Oryzias latipes: one gene and its partners. The protein of the gene in region 1 binds, or shares a complex with, the protein of each later gene. Links are inferred from orthologs where the notes say so. Each region holds a gene or a part of one and is shown in the gene's direction. Other genes may lie near its edges. The genes, in order: coagulation factor VII, f3 and poglut1.

Region 1 (4,241 bases):
AAGGCGGCAGAGAGACGTGAATAGACGAGCTCTGAGCTTTTATTTTGACACGTACATCGCACAGGTGTCATCATCTTCTGCCCTTCCCCTCACTCATGGTGCAAAAAAGAAGTAATGTCTATTAAATGTAGCTTTCTTTTTTTGGAATTTTAAGGCTCCTCTTCTGTCTCCTGGATGGGCGTTTTCGCCTTTTGGCAGAGTGACATAGATAGACGGATGTAACAGAGAATCTGGCAATTTTTCAAAATAAAACATCTTTCAGATTCCGAAATGAATAAGACGGAAGTCATGTAAATGATTTATTCTTACCGGTCTGCGGCCCGGGGGTTAGGAGCCGCTGATTTAGAGGACCATTTTTAGCATTGACTTGCTGCAAACAGACAATCTATCCTACAGTTCCTGATTGGTTTAAACGACACAAAGCTTTACAAAAGTTCAGATATTGGAACTCTGGAAACAAGGCTCCGCATGGCGAAATTTTTGCAGAATTTTTGGCACGCCAGATAGCTGCCCCATCCAAAACATGTTGCTCCCAGAGAACCCAGCGGCGCTCGTCGCTTAAATCGCGCAGCAGGAACTCTGACTGTGTCCGTACACTGACGGGACGCCCCTGGCGCGCGAATTGCGTTCGCCGTGAACGTAGCTTTACTGCGAAACTCACAGTTGAGAAACACCTGATTGTTTAGCTGATCCAAATGTGTCGCTGTCCAAATATTTCTGAGCCTGACTGTCAATTCCGCTAAGGCACCGCCAACAGTAATTATGTCTGTTGCTGCCTCCCCCAGGTGAAAACTGCAACCGTGGGGCTGCCCTTGGGGCCCTGCTGGGCGCCGGGGCCGCCTACAATGGGCGGGGCATCCCACAGGAATGGAAGGACCACCTGAAAGATGGGCAAGAGCTCATTCCTGAGATCCTTAAGAAGTTTTAGTTAAAGCAACAGCACCCCCCATGGAGACAAAGAGAACTGCAGGGACTAATAAAAGTTGCTGCTGCTTTCAGGTTTCATATTTATTTATGACTGATTCCACTTCAACAAGAATATTCTTTTTTTTTTTGCACGATCTATATATTTTTTACCATCAAATTAAATTATTAATCTTTTTTTCTGTAACATTTTTCTGTTTGAAGTTGCCTTTAAAAAATAAACAAACAAAGTTAAACTGGCTGAACATATTTGCATTTTTTTTCATATTTTAAAATAGAATTTAAGGAACAAATGAATCCATGTGTTTTTTTCTTTTTTTCTTTTCTTTTATTTAAGCTACTCAAGCAGAAATGTGAATTAGCTGTTGAATTATTATCATTTCTTTTGTTGTGACTAAACTGAAGGAGTGGAGCAGCTCAAACGTAAAAGTGTGGAAATTTGGGTCACTTTCTTTTTTTCTTTTTTGGGGAGGGTTGGGGAGAGTGTTTGTTTCACTCCTGACCTTTGATCAGTTCAGAACAAACATGGCGTTCATCTACAGAGAAAAGACGCATCTCTTCTTCTTATTACTCACCGCTGCTTCATTCCCAGCATGCACTGGGACTTCGGAAGGTTCGTACGGTCCTTTCTGTTTCTTCAAGTCGCTATCAGGATGATGGTTGTAGAAATAAGAGTCCAGGTTCTTCAGAGTATTTAAAACAGTCCACTAGTAAAGCGGAAAAACAACTGAAATACTAATAATCAGACTTGTTTACATTGTTTTTATGTAAAACTCAAAAAGCTTATAGAAGAAACATTTTAGACGTTGATCAATTGAAGTCAGAATTGTGATGAAGCGTCTTGAATTAGTGCCTTCAGTTTTCATTGCAAAAACTGACGGAAAAAGTAAAATCTAATTCAGTTTTTAATTAGAAAATCCCTATTGAAAATTAAAGACAAAACTGAATAATTTTTTGCTTTCACCTTCAGCTTTTGCATTAAAAGTTTAGATATTTTAATCCTGTAAAACCCACCATCAAAAAATGCAGAATTCAAATTCTTTAGAATCAAAAGAGTTTTTAAAACCTTGGAAGAAATCCACAAATATTTTGTGGATCTTCTATTTTTTGTGAGATATAGATATTATCAATATTTGGGATTTATTAATTTTTTGTTGATATCAATGATAGCTGAAGATGCAAAAGAAACATTGACATGAATGTTCAGGGAAAAAAGCCCCTTATTTACCCACCGTCTCAAATTTGATCCACACATTTAGAAATTGGTGTAAATGTATTATAAAGAATTAATTATTATTTAAATCCAGCAAGTAGTCGTTAACAAAGGACCTTGGAGGTTTGGCGGGTTGGGGTCTTCACTGAGGCAATCGGTGGTTGTCGTAATTGGTCGTCTGCCTCCATCCTGTTGGTGCCTAATCAGAGCGCCCCCTAGGCGCCACCCCTGACCAGACGGGTGGCCCTGTGGGCGGGGACCTGTGCTTGCTCCTGGAAGTCTGTGTGTGTGTGCATTGGACATGCACCTCGGGGGGAAGGAACTACTGCACCTTAAACATGAAGGACCCTTGGTCGGAGGGCTGCTTGGACATCGTTGCTAACAAGCAGAAGATGTCCTCTCAGTGCCCTACCCGCCGATTTTAGCTGCACCCTTTGTTGTAGTATGTCCATGTTTACTTGATTATATGTGAACATTACTGGAGCCAACAGGTATGTTTGTAACATTTGAGTGTGTGTGTGGACAGGCCCCGCCCCATTCAGATTTGTTATATATCTAAACCTGACAGTAATGATTATAAACTTCCAGCAACCTGTTACTTTATGATTTTACCCCCCCTCCCCCTCTATAATCACCCTCCTACCCCCTTTCCAACATCCCTCTCTCTTCTTCCCTCCTTTCCTTTTCCGCCTGGAGCAACAAAAATTGTCACAAATATAATTAATTTGAATAAAGTTGAGTCTAAATTACAAAAGGAGTTTATTCAAATATACATGTGGTGTTCGAAGATTCATAACCCCATGTTGTAAAAGTAAAATATGTCCAACACAAGCGGCCTTTAGCTCTCATCTGTTTGCTCAGATGTTGGACAGGACAAGTTAAAACGCAATAGCAGAAAAAGCCCTTCTACTGCCCCTAGTGGAATAATGATGAACTACAGGGCAGAAAACATGGACCCAGTTGAATCAAATAAGTCTTTAGGACATGCTAGTGAGATAGTGGTCTCAGAAATGCATATTTTAAATATGATACCAATTGTTATCCCTTGTGCTATCCTAGGCACTTTAACATTGGGAGTTGGGTCATCTAGACCCACTAGACAGTGCACTGAACCTTTTTTCTTCAATCATTTGTGATCTTCACTGGTGTCCATGGATTACATGAAATCTTTCCACCTTTATCCACCTTTGTCATGGTAGGAATAACACATCAATGTGAGGGTGGGGTCATCTAAGATAGCACAAGGGATAAGAGCAGAAGTCATGTAAACGTTCCTGTTTGTCAGAATATATCATTTCTGAACTGCTTATTCCCACCAAGAAGGGGTGTTCCTGGAAAGACCCGAAGCGAGTGTTTTCCTGCATCGGAGCCGTCGGGCTAACTCGTGGCTGGAAGAGTTGAGGCAAGGGAACATCGAGCGAGAATGTTACGAGGAGAAATGCTCCTACGAGGAGGCCCGAGAAATCTTTGCTCTGCCACAGCAACTGGTAAGGAGGAGTTTCGCCTGAGGGTCCTGGTGGTGTTGGTTTTTGCTGAACTGTGTTACCTGCTCTTACAGGAGACTTTCTGGAGGACTTACACAGGTACATGGGTTTTGACAGGCTGTTAGAGTAACATGGAGGAAGTCTGCTGGACTCCCATTGAAAAGTCCTCTTGCTTTCAGCTGTAGACCACTGCTTGTCCTTCCCCTGTAAGAACGGGGGAACCTGCACTCGCCACTTCAGCAACTACGTCTGCAAATGTGCCCCAGGCTTCCACGGAACCCACTGCGAGAAAGGTAGAAACCCGGAGAGCAGATGACGCCACGGCTTTTTAATTCATTTTGGTTTGCAGGAAACCATCGAGCGTTTGTTTTTGCAGCTCGCCTGACCTCGAATGGCTGTCGCTACAGAAACGGAGGCTGCGAACATTTCTGCACGGAGCTCTCAGATCGTTCTCCTTCCTGTTCCTGTGCACCGGGCTATGGTCTGGATCAGGACAACAGCACGTGCCTTCCCAAAGGTCTGAGCTGCTTTCCAAGCTGACTTGTTTGCAAAAGCTAAAAATAGAAGAAACGTGTGAGTTTACAGCACCCAAAGAAGTTTCTCCAACACCGGAGATGTCG
Region 2 (3,015 bases), on another chromosome or scaffold:
CCTGTTGAAAACAACGGTGTTAGTTTAGACTGTGAGAATTTGCTAGTTGTTCGATTTTTATTTAGGTGTTACTGTCTTCATCTACTACTCTTTTCCTGTCATTGATTTACTGGAACTGGAGTCTGAAAACCTTTGAGGATGGAAAAACTGTAGAGAACATTTTCAGTTTATTGTTATCAAGTGATCCAACAGAGACGTTTATGTTTTGTTTGCTGCTGAAGTTAACAAGTACGTTTCATTCATTCATCTTTTTCCGTTTTATCCCTTTCGCGGTCACGGGGCTGCCGGAGCCTATCCCGGCCACTTGTGGGTGAAGGCAGGGGACACCCTGGACAGGTCGCCAGTCTGTCTTTTTTAAATCATTTTGTTTTTATCTGTTATTGATTTGGATCTCCTGTTCTAAATAAAGGTATAGATAGATATGTGGATAATATATCCGTTCATTTTCTGTCCTTTTCGGGGTCACGGGCTGCCAAAAACTAACCTGGCGTCAGGCTTAGGCGAGGTACACCCAGTTTGCCAGCCTGTTGAAGTGCTGATTTACTACTCATTATTGTAGTACAGTGCAGTCTTTCTTGATTACACCGTCTTTAAATCCATTTCTCTGAATAGAAATCCTCTGACTTGTGGTTGTTTTCCTGTCTTCACAGTGTTTTCCCTGGGAGTCATTGCTGCAGGCGTCCTCCTGTTGCTGCTGCTCGTGGGAACTGTCGTTGGCATCACCCTGGTTTGCTACAGACACAGGAAGAAAGCACTGAGAAGACAAAAGGGATTGCCGCTGCAGAAGATATAGTGTCTGCAGGGGCAGACGGTACTACTGAACCCGAGGCTGCTAGATGTCCAATATTCCAATGTCCAAAAACTGTAATTTTTAGTTTCTGTGAAACTTCCTCTAAATGTTTTTGTTTTGTTGCATTCCAAAAGCTGATGTTAAACTGGTTAGTTTCAGCTGACAGGTACGTTCAGTTCTCCACAGGAGACTTTATTTATTGACTTAATTGTAGACTTGAATGATTGGGGTGTGGGGATTATAGTAGAACAACACTAAATCAGCACATATGTGTGTACCTAATGCTTAATTTACTATATTTTACTGACATTACCGTCATTTATCGCAATTTCATTTGAGAGTTTTAAAAATGTTGAATTCTTGCAGATCTGCTATTTTAGTTTTTGAATGTTGTACATTTCCACCCTTCTTTGACCTGGTTCACATTTTTTACTGTGTTAAACAATGATAAAATAATGGATTGACAACGCTAAATCGATATTATTGATTGGGAAAATTATGTTTTCTTTTTAACAGTTACTGAATTATTTTGGTCAAAGAAAAAAGGCTCAGAGCAACTTAAAAATGTCTTGGAAATGTGCCTTTAGAAAAACCTGCTGCTTTTGAGAAGATTTTTCTTTACATCAATCCAATGAAAGTGGTGCACTGTAAGATATTGGTATTAAAACAGGAAAAGGAAATGCAGGCTCTGCTGTAAAGCTGTAAAGGTACAACACAAGGTGGTTCAAAGAGATGGCACGTCCGCTTTTAGGAGACAAAAGGCTCAAACAGGGATAGATTTACTAAAAGTTGCTTATCACTATGAAATTATTCATAATTAATCTTGTACTTTCATTACCCACATATAACCATTAGAATCGACACACACTGTCACAAACAGACACGGTTGGTTCAAATTTAAGATGCAGCTCTGTGGTAAATCCTAGATTTAATATGCTTTTGTTCTGAAAAGCTGCCCTTCCAGGAAAACTCACAAATAAAACCTTTACTGGAAAAGGAAACTGCATCAGCTGCTGCTGGCTACAATTGTCCTTTGGAAAGCAGATAGAACTCATCCTTCTAAGCTGAGCATCCCAGTAAATCCTAAAAGTTGCCGTCTTAGTCTTCCTGAGCAGAACCAGTAGGAAAAAGGGTAACGCTGTTAAACAATTTGTGTAAAGCTGAGACAGGGGAGCCTACGGTGGCCTGTGAGGCATATCATCATCTGAGATTTTCTGGTATTAAGGGTTCTGAAAGTCCTCCAGAGAAAAGATGCTGACTTTAATGGTGAAGTTTGACTCTTAGAGGGTAAATTTGACCTAGACTTTTTATTAGTAGTAAAACACAAAAACATACTACAGGACAATCATGTTTACCTTTAGTGTTTTTTCACAAATATAAGTGGTAACTTATTGTTAAAATCATCTTTATTTTTTTAATTCTATTAACAACTAAAGTGACAACAATGTATCTGTGATGACTTGTTAAACTGTTTAGAGAACACACGTGAACAAAGGAAGTGGGTTTACCTTTAGCTGAGAAGAACAAGTGTGCTCTCATGTATACACTACTGTTTTCATACTTTTTTTTAAATAAAGTTACATGTTCTAACTAATTATGTTTGTATCTGTATGTTTCGCACATTCTAAAGTTCATTCGGTTTAAGAATTTTAATAGCTCAATTTTCCTTTTCAGCTTCCTGCCTGGGACCTATAGGGCCTTGGTTTCCTGCTAGCTTATCTAATGTCAACATCCAGGCTGCAGTTAAAGGTGGCCTGGGGTCTTTTATGGTTTTTGTTGAGTTGTGCTAACCCTTCAAAGGTTAAAAAAATAAAAATAAAAACCTACTGTTAATTCTGGTTTATTCCTGGGTTTCGACTCATGGCTGTTTAGTGTCTAGCTCAGGGGTGAGTAAACGTTTGGACTTGTGGGCCACAAAGGGTTCTAAAATTTGATAGAAGGGCCAAACAAGGAGCAGATGAGCAGAGTAATCCACTTTATAGGAGAAGGAAACAGCATGTAATCTGAATCTGAAGTATGAAAACATACTTTAAAAAAATCATGTGGTGTTTGAATGATCGGAAAAATGTGTGAGTGTGTGTTTGCTGCATGTGTGGTGCCAACATGCAGTATGTGGTGCCTAAAGGAAGGGTAAAAAGTGGAGGGTGGACCGGTGAGACCGGATGTTTCACCGTGCCCCCCTCCACCAGAAGTGGTCTTCTTTTGACTCTGGAAGGGTATCCATT
Region 3 (4,193 bases), about 6.4 Mb from region 1:
TTTTTCTTTGGGTAAACCTATTGTTAACTTTTTGACTTTTTGTTGACTTATTAACAAAAAGTATATATATTATTATTGAATTTTTATTTGTTTATTGCTATTTATTATTTTTATTGACTTATTATTGATTAATTATTATTGACTAATTATTTACTTTTGTTATTGTTATTTTTTATTGGCTTATTGATTTATTATTATCTATATTATTATTATTATTATTATTGACTTATTGTTGGGCTTTTCTAAATAATTTAAATTACATGTCAAAGAGGTCTAAAACTTCTAAATGTTTAGAAATTATTATTAAAAAGTATTTGTAATAATTTTTTTTATTTGTAAGGAGTCCTGCAACTATGCATTTTTTATTAAAGTTTGAGCCTCTAAGGCTAACAAATGATGTTTGTGTGTATATATATATATATATATATATATTACATAAAAGCTACTTAAATGCCACTAAAGGCTATATAGAGAGCATTGTCATGTGGGCGCCGACGACCTCACCATGATGGCGTCGTTCTCCGCCAGCGGTGGCCAGGCTTCCCAAGCGGGCATGTCTCCTCTAGCGATATAACCCATTGCTCTCTCTCGCGCTAGCTTACAGCCCATTACAACTCAACCTAACATTACAGGTGCAGCCATAAAGTTTGGAGCCAACTCAAACGAGAAAAATAAAGACGGGAATAGATCTATTTGTCCGCAAGTTTATGCGACAACGTGGATGCGAAGTGGTGAGGCTTTGGCCCGGCCGTTTCACTCACTGCATCACAAAAGAGAGCTTTTTTCAACTGGATATTTTCATCTGCTCCAGATTCATCTCGATTTAATTTAAGAAAGAAATACTCAGATATGCTGTTTTAATTTTAAATTATTTTATTTTTATCCTCCATCGTGGGAAAAGAACATGTTAAAAACACCATTTTTGTTGGAGTGGCTCTTTAAATGAACAAAATATGATTAACCAAACAATTAAGTAATTATTTATTTAGAGAGTTTATCATTTTATGAACTGGTTTGCTTTAGAAATCAAACACACTACACAAAAAACTAGATTTAGTGCCAAAAAAGTAGATTTTACAAGGATGTTTTCTACTTTTTTATTATTAGAAATAGATGTATATCAAAAATTACATGTGTTCTCAATAAACTTTAAAATGTATATAATTATTTTACATGAATACATTTATTTGCGACTTTCTTCGACATTTTACGGCAAGAATTTCTTCTTTTTTGCGCCCACCGCCGCAGAAACGGTGGTCAGACAGAAGCAACAGAGCGCAGATCAGATCTATGCTTTTGTTTTCATTTATTTTTCTCTCCAGTCAAAGCTAATCAACGAGCAAGCGATGGAGTGCCGGTGTTTGTGGGTCTTTCATCTTCTGCTGATTTATGGCTTAAATTTAGGCGGTGCATCAGGTAATAACGTTTTTTTTTGTGTCTTTAAACCTACTTTTGAAAACAAGTTCTGATTGATTGAAAACACGACCTTTCGCTGCACGTCTTAAAGAAACTTAATGCTAAATGGCTAAAATGCTGGGGGGCTAAGCCGAGCTGAGCTGAGGCTGAGTGCTAACTTTTATGGAGGCTGGGATTGATTTTATGAATGAACATAGTGAAATTGTAACTACACGAGTGTGTTTATTCAGTGAACCAGACCTGCTTTGCCGACAGGAGTTTAGCACAAATCAGTGTAATCCCAACCATTTCACTTCTAAAGTTGGTTACAACGAGACAAAAAAAAGTTTATCTAAGATTTACTAGTATTTTATTATTTGCCTGTTTTATTGTAAAAGGTCAGTTTAAGCTCTTATTTTGAAGCTTTTTGATGAAGCCGGAATGTTCGTCTGCAGGGGCGTGTTTGGTCATTTTGCAGCTCGGGGCGACGCAAGTCCCCCCTGAAAAAAAAACGTTACATTTTTGTTAGTAGTTTTCTACCAAATGTAGCTTAAAAAAAGATGTTTTACTTTTTATTAATTGGGCCATTTTGTTAAAAAAAAAACTTTTTACAAATAACTAGTTTGAAATAAATTACTCGGTTTAGCCGTTAAGGGGCTTGCTTTAAGCTCGTCCCTATTTACTTTATTGAAAAATAATCTAATTTGTACAACGAAAGCAAACGTTCCAACTTTGGCTCCATTATGATGAATGCTATGAAATTTTGAAATAAACAAGATTTTTATTTAACGTTTAAGGATTAAAGTCGTATGTATAAGTGGTCATGACCTTTGAGCAACGTAAAAGTAAAGGATCATGTGACAACAGGTTTCTCCCATTTCTTATTAATATAGTTTACAAACTAAAGGAAGACCATTTAAAGTTGAAAGAACATGAAAAAAATCACAACTTTTGGATGATTAACTTTGCTAATAGCCTTTTAGCTAACTGAGTATCCTAGATGATGCTAAAAGGCTTAATGGTTAATTTTTATTGTAAAAATATGGTCTTTTGATCGATTCTGTTCAGTTTTTTTTGTTTGTTTTTTTGCTCAGCCATTGCAAAATTTGTTGCAAAAAGAAAAATAGGTGTAAAAACAACAACACAAATTTACGTCTGAACGTCTTCTTCAGCCCAAAAGTGGAAGAAAACCCGCGATCGTGTTTCTGCAGCGGTCGGGAGCTACGTCTCGTGTAGCTCTGTCAACTGCAGCTGTCATCTGAGGTGAGTTTTTTTTTTTTTTTCTTTCCGGTCTGCCTGCAGATCCAACATTTTCACAAAACTAACCAGCAGCTCTTGATTTCAGCGTTCTCCAACAGGACTTGCAGCCTTTCAGAGGTGGGATCTCAGAAAGCCTCATGGCTTCCACGGTTCAGCGAGGCATGGGCACCCACTACCAGATCATCCAACACAAGCTGTACAGAGAGCAGAACTGCATGTTCCCTGCAAGGTGCACCCACAGGAACCCGCTTTGCCTTTGATCTGGACGCCAAACGTCAGCACATGCTGATTGGTTCGTCTGGTTTTTTTTTAGGTGCAGCGGCGTGGAGCATTTCATCCTGGAGGTGATTGACCGTCTGCCGGACCTGGAGATGGTGGTAAACGTGAGGGATTACCCTCAGGTGCCGAACTGGATGAGCCCCGCCCTGCCGGTCCTCTCTTTCAGTAAGGTCAGGATCATGACGGGGGGCTTCTTCATGCCTCTAAACCTCTTTTGATAACCCGCGTTTGCTCGGACTGAACAGACTGCCGAGTACCAGGACATCATGTATCCCGCTTGGACGTTTTGGGAAGGTGGCCCCGCTGTGTGGCCCATATACCCCACCGGACTGGGGAGGTGGGACCTGATGAGGACGGATCTTAAAAAGTAAGATGGAGCGGCAGTGCGGACATCCTGGTAGCTGCGAATGTTATTTAAACGTTTGTGAAATTTCTCTTCTTGTGTCGACAGGTCTGCAGCTCAATGGCCCTGGAAAAAAAAGGAGCCCAAAGGATTCTTCAGAGGCTCCAGGTGGGTCAAGCTAACGGGTCATTTGGGACTTTTTACAAATCAAATCCGGTCCACTTTTCACATGTTTTCTGGGAAAAAACAGATTCAAGAAAAAGTTAATTAAACAAATTAAACAAAAAACTACAATAGAGTTTACCTACGTTGGTAAAATGTTGTTTTTTGCAGAAAGAACTTTTTTTTTATTAAAAGAAAAGCGGTTTTACTACCAAACTAAAGTTGCCTTGAAATAATAAATCCTTTAAAAAAATTAAAATGTATTTGATAAAATCTTAAACTAATTGAAATTATAATATTTTTTATGGCGATACCCAACCTTATCAAACACAACAGATTAATAAAACTTTGTTTTTCTATGTTAATACAACACAAAATATTTTTCTGAGGTTGCTGTTGCCTCATTTGGCCACTAGATTTCCTCGTTCTGTTTTAGAAAGAAAACTACAGCTGTGTCCAAATTCCCTAATAAAACTTATTTTACTATATAGCATTTTTTTCCGGGGTTATTGAATCTACAATTCCAAAATCCAGTGCCCTGAAAATTTCCCAGAAGTCTCTGCGAAAAACCAGTGTGCAATGATGCTCATAGACAGAAATGCATTGCATTGTTACGATTTATCATTTGGAAAAGAAAACATTACATTGATTAAAAAAAAAAATCCCAGGTTTTCATCATCAGAGCATCACATGTTCATTAATAGTTTTTGTAAAATGTTTTTTTTTATTAGGTTTTACTGGGTGATGTCATTTG

The links.
Region 2: the proteins of coagulation factor VII (region 1) and f3 are in contact, whole or in part, in a crystal structure (PDB 6R2W), measured with the Homo sapiens proteins. The link is inferred for Oryzias latipes from reciprocal best matches to the Homo sapiens genes F7 and F3. Residues at the interface, in NP_000122.1 of Homo sapiens: Leu73, Lys78, Phe91, Arg96, Leu99, Phe100, Ser103, Ser120, Lys122, Gln124, Leu125, Ile129, Cys130, Phe131, Cys132, Leu133, Pro134, Phe136, Glu137, Gly138, Arg139, Lys145, Gln148, Ile150, Val152, Asn153, Glu154; in NP_001984.1 of Homo sapiens: Thr49, Asn50, Lys52, Ile54, Glu56, Trp77, Lys78, Ser79, Lys80, Phe82, Tyr83, Glu88, Asp90, Asp93, Gly141, Gln142, Thr144, Glu162, Arg163, Thr164, Leu165, Arg167, Phe172, Tyr188, Trp190, Lys191, Ser192, Ser194, Ser195, Gly196.
Region 3: the proteins of coagulation factor VII (region 1) and poglut1 are in contact, whole or in part, in a crystal structure (PDB 5L0S), measured with the Homo sapiens proteins. The link is inferred for Oryzias latipes from reciprocal best matches to the Homo sapiens genes F7 and POGLUT1. Residues at the interface, in NP_000122.1 of Homo sapiens: Asp108, Gln109, Cys110, Ala111, Ser112, Ser113, Pro114, Cys115, Gln116, Asn117, Gly118, Gly119, Cys121, Gln126, Ser127, Tyr128, Arg139, Asn140; in NP_689518.1 of Homo sapiens: Met103, Phe104, Pro105, Ser106, Arg107, Arg132, Asp133, Pro171, Ala172, Trp174, Pro178, Thr179, Thr214, Asn239, Gln240, Ala241, Val274.

What each region holds. Positions count from the first base shown.
Region 1 is NC_019860.2:10,267,624-10,271,864, forward strand, and holds the start of coagulation factor VII, read left to right. Parts: upstream 1-1,406; 5' UTR 1,407-1,449; coding exon 1,450-1,537; intron 1,538-3,460; coding exon 3,461-3,624; intron 3,625-3,695; coding exon 3,696-3,720; intron 3,721-3,800; coding exon 3,801-3,914; intron 3,915-3,997; coding exon 3,998-4,138; intron 4,139-4,241. Other genes in the region: uncharacterized protein LOC101163470, read left to right, coding at 786-928. UniProt on the Homo sapiens protein: Initiates the extrinsic pathway of blood coagulation. Serine protease that circulates in the blood in a zymogen form. Factor VII is converted to factor VIIa by factor Xa, factor XIIa, factor IXa, or thrombin by minor proteolysis.
Region 2 is NC_019878.2:5,081,941-5,084,955, reverse strand, and holds the end of f3 (tissue factor), read left to right. Parts: intron 1-650; coding exon 651-793; 3' UTR 794-2,384; downstream 2,385-3,015. UniProt on the Homo sapiens protein: Initiates blood coagulation by forming a complex with circulating factor VII or VIIa. The [TF:VIIa] complex activates factors IX or X by specific limited proteolysis.
Region 3 is NC_019860.2:16,695,452-16,699,644, reverse strand, and holds the start of poglut1 (protein O-glucosyltransferase 1), read left to right. Parts: upstream 1-1,328; 5' UTR 1,329-1,346; coding exon 1,347-1,416; intron 1,417-2,567; coding exon 2,568-2,658; intron 2,659-2,740; coding exon 2,741-2,884; intron 2,885-2,968; coding exon 2,969-3,104; intron 3,105-3,179; coding exon 3,180-3,301; intron 3,302-3,385; coding exon 3,386-3,445; intron 3,446-4,193. UniProt on the Homo sapiens protein: Dual specificity glycosyltransferase that catalyzes the transfer of glucose and xylose from UDP-glucose and UDP-xylose, respectively, to a serine residue found in the consensus sequence of C-X-S-X-P-C.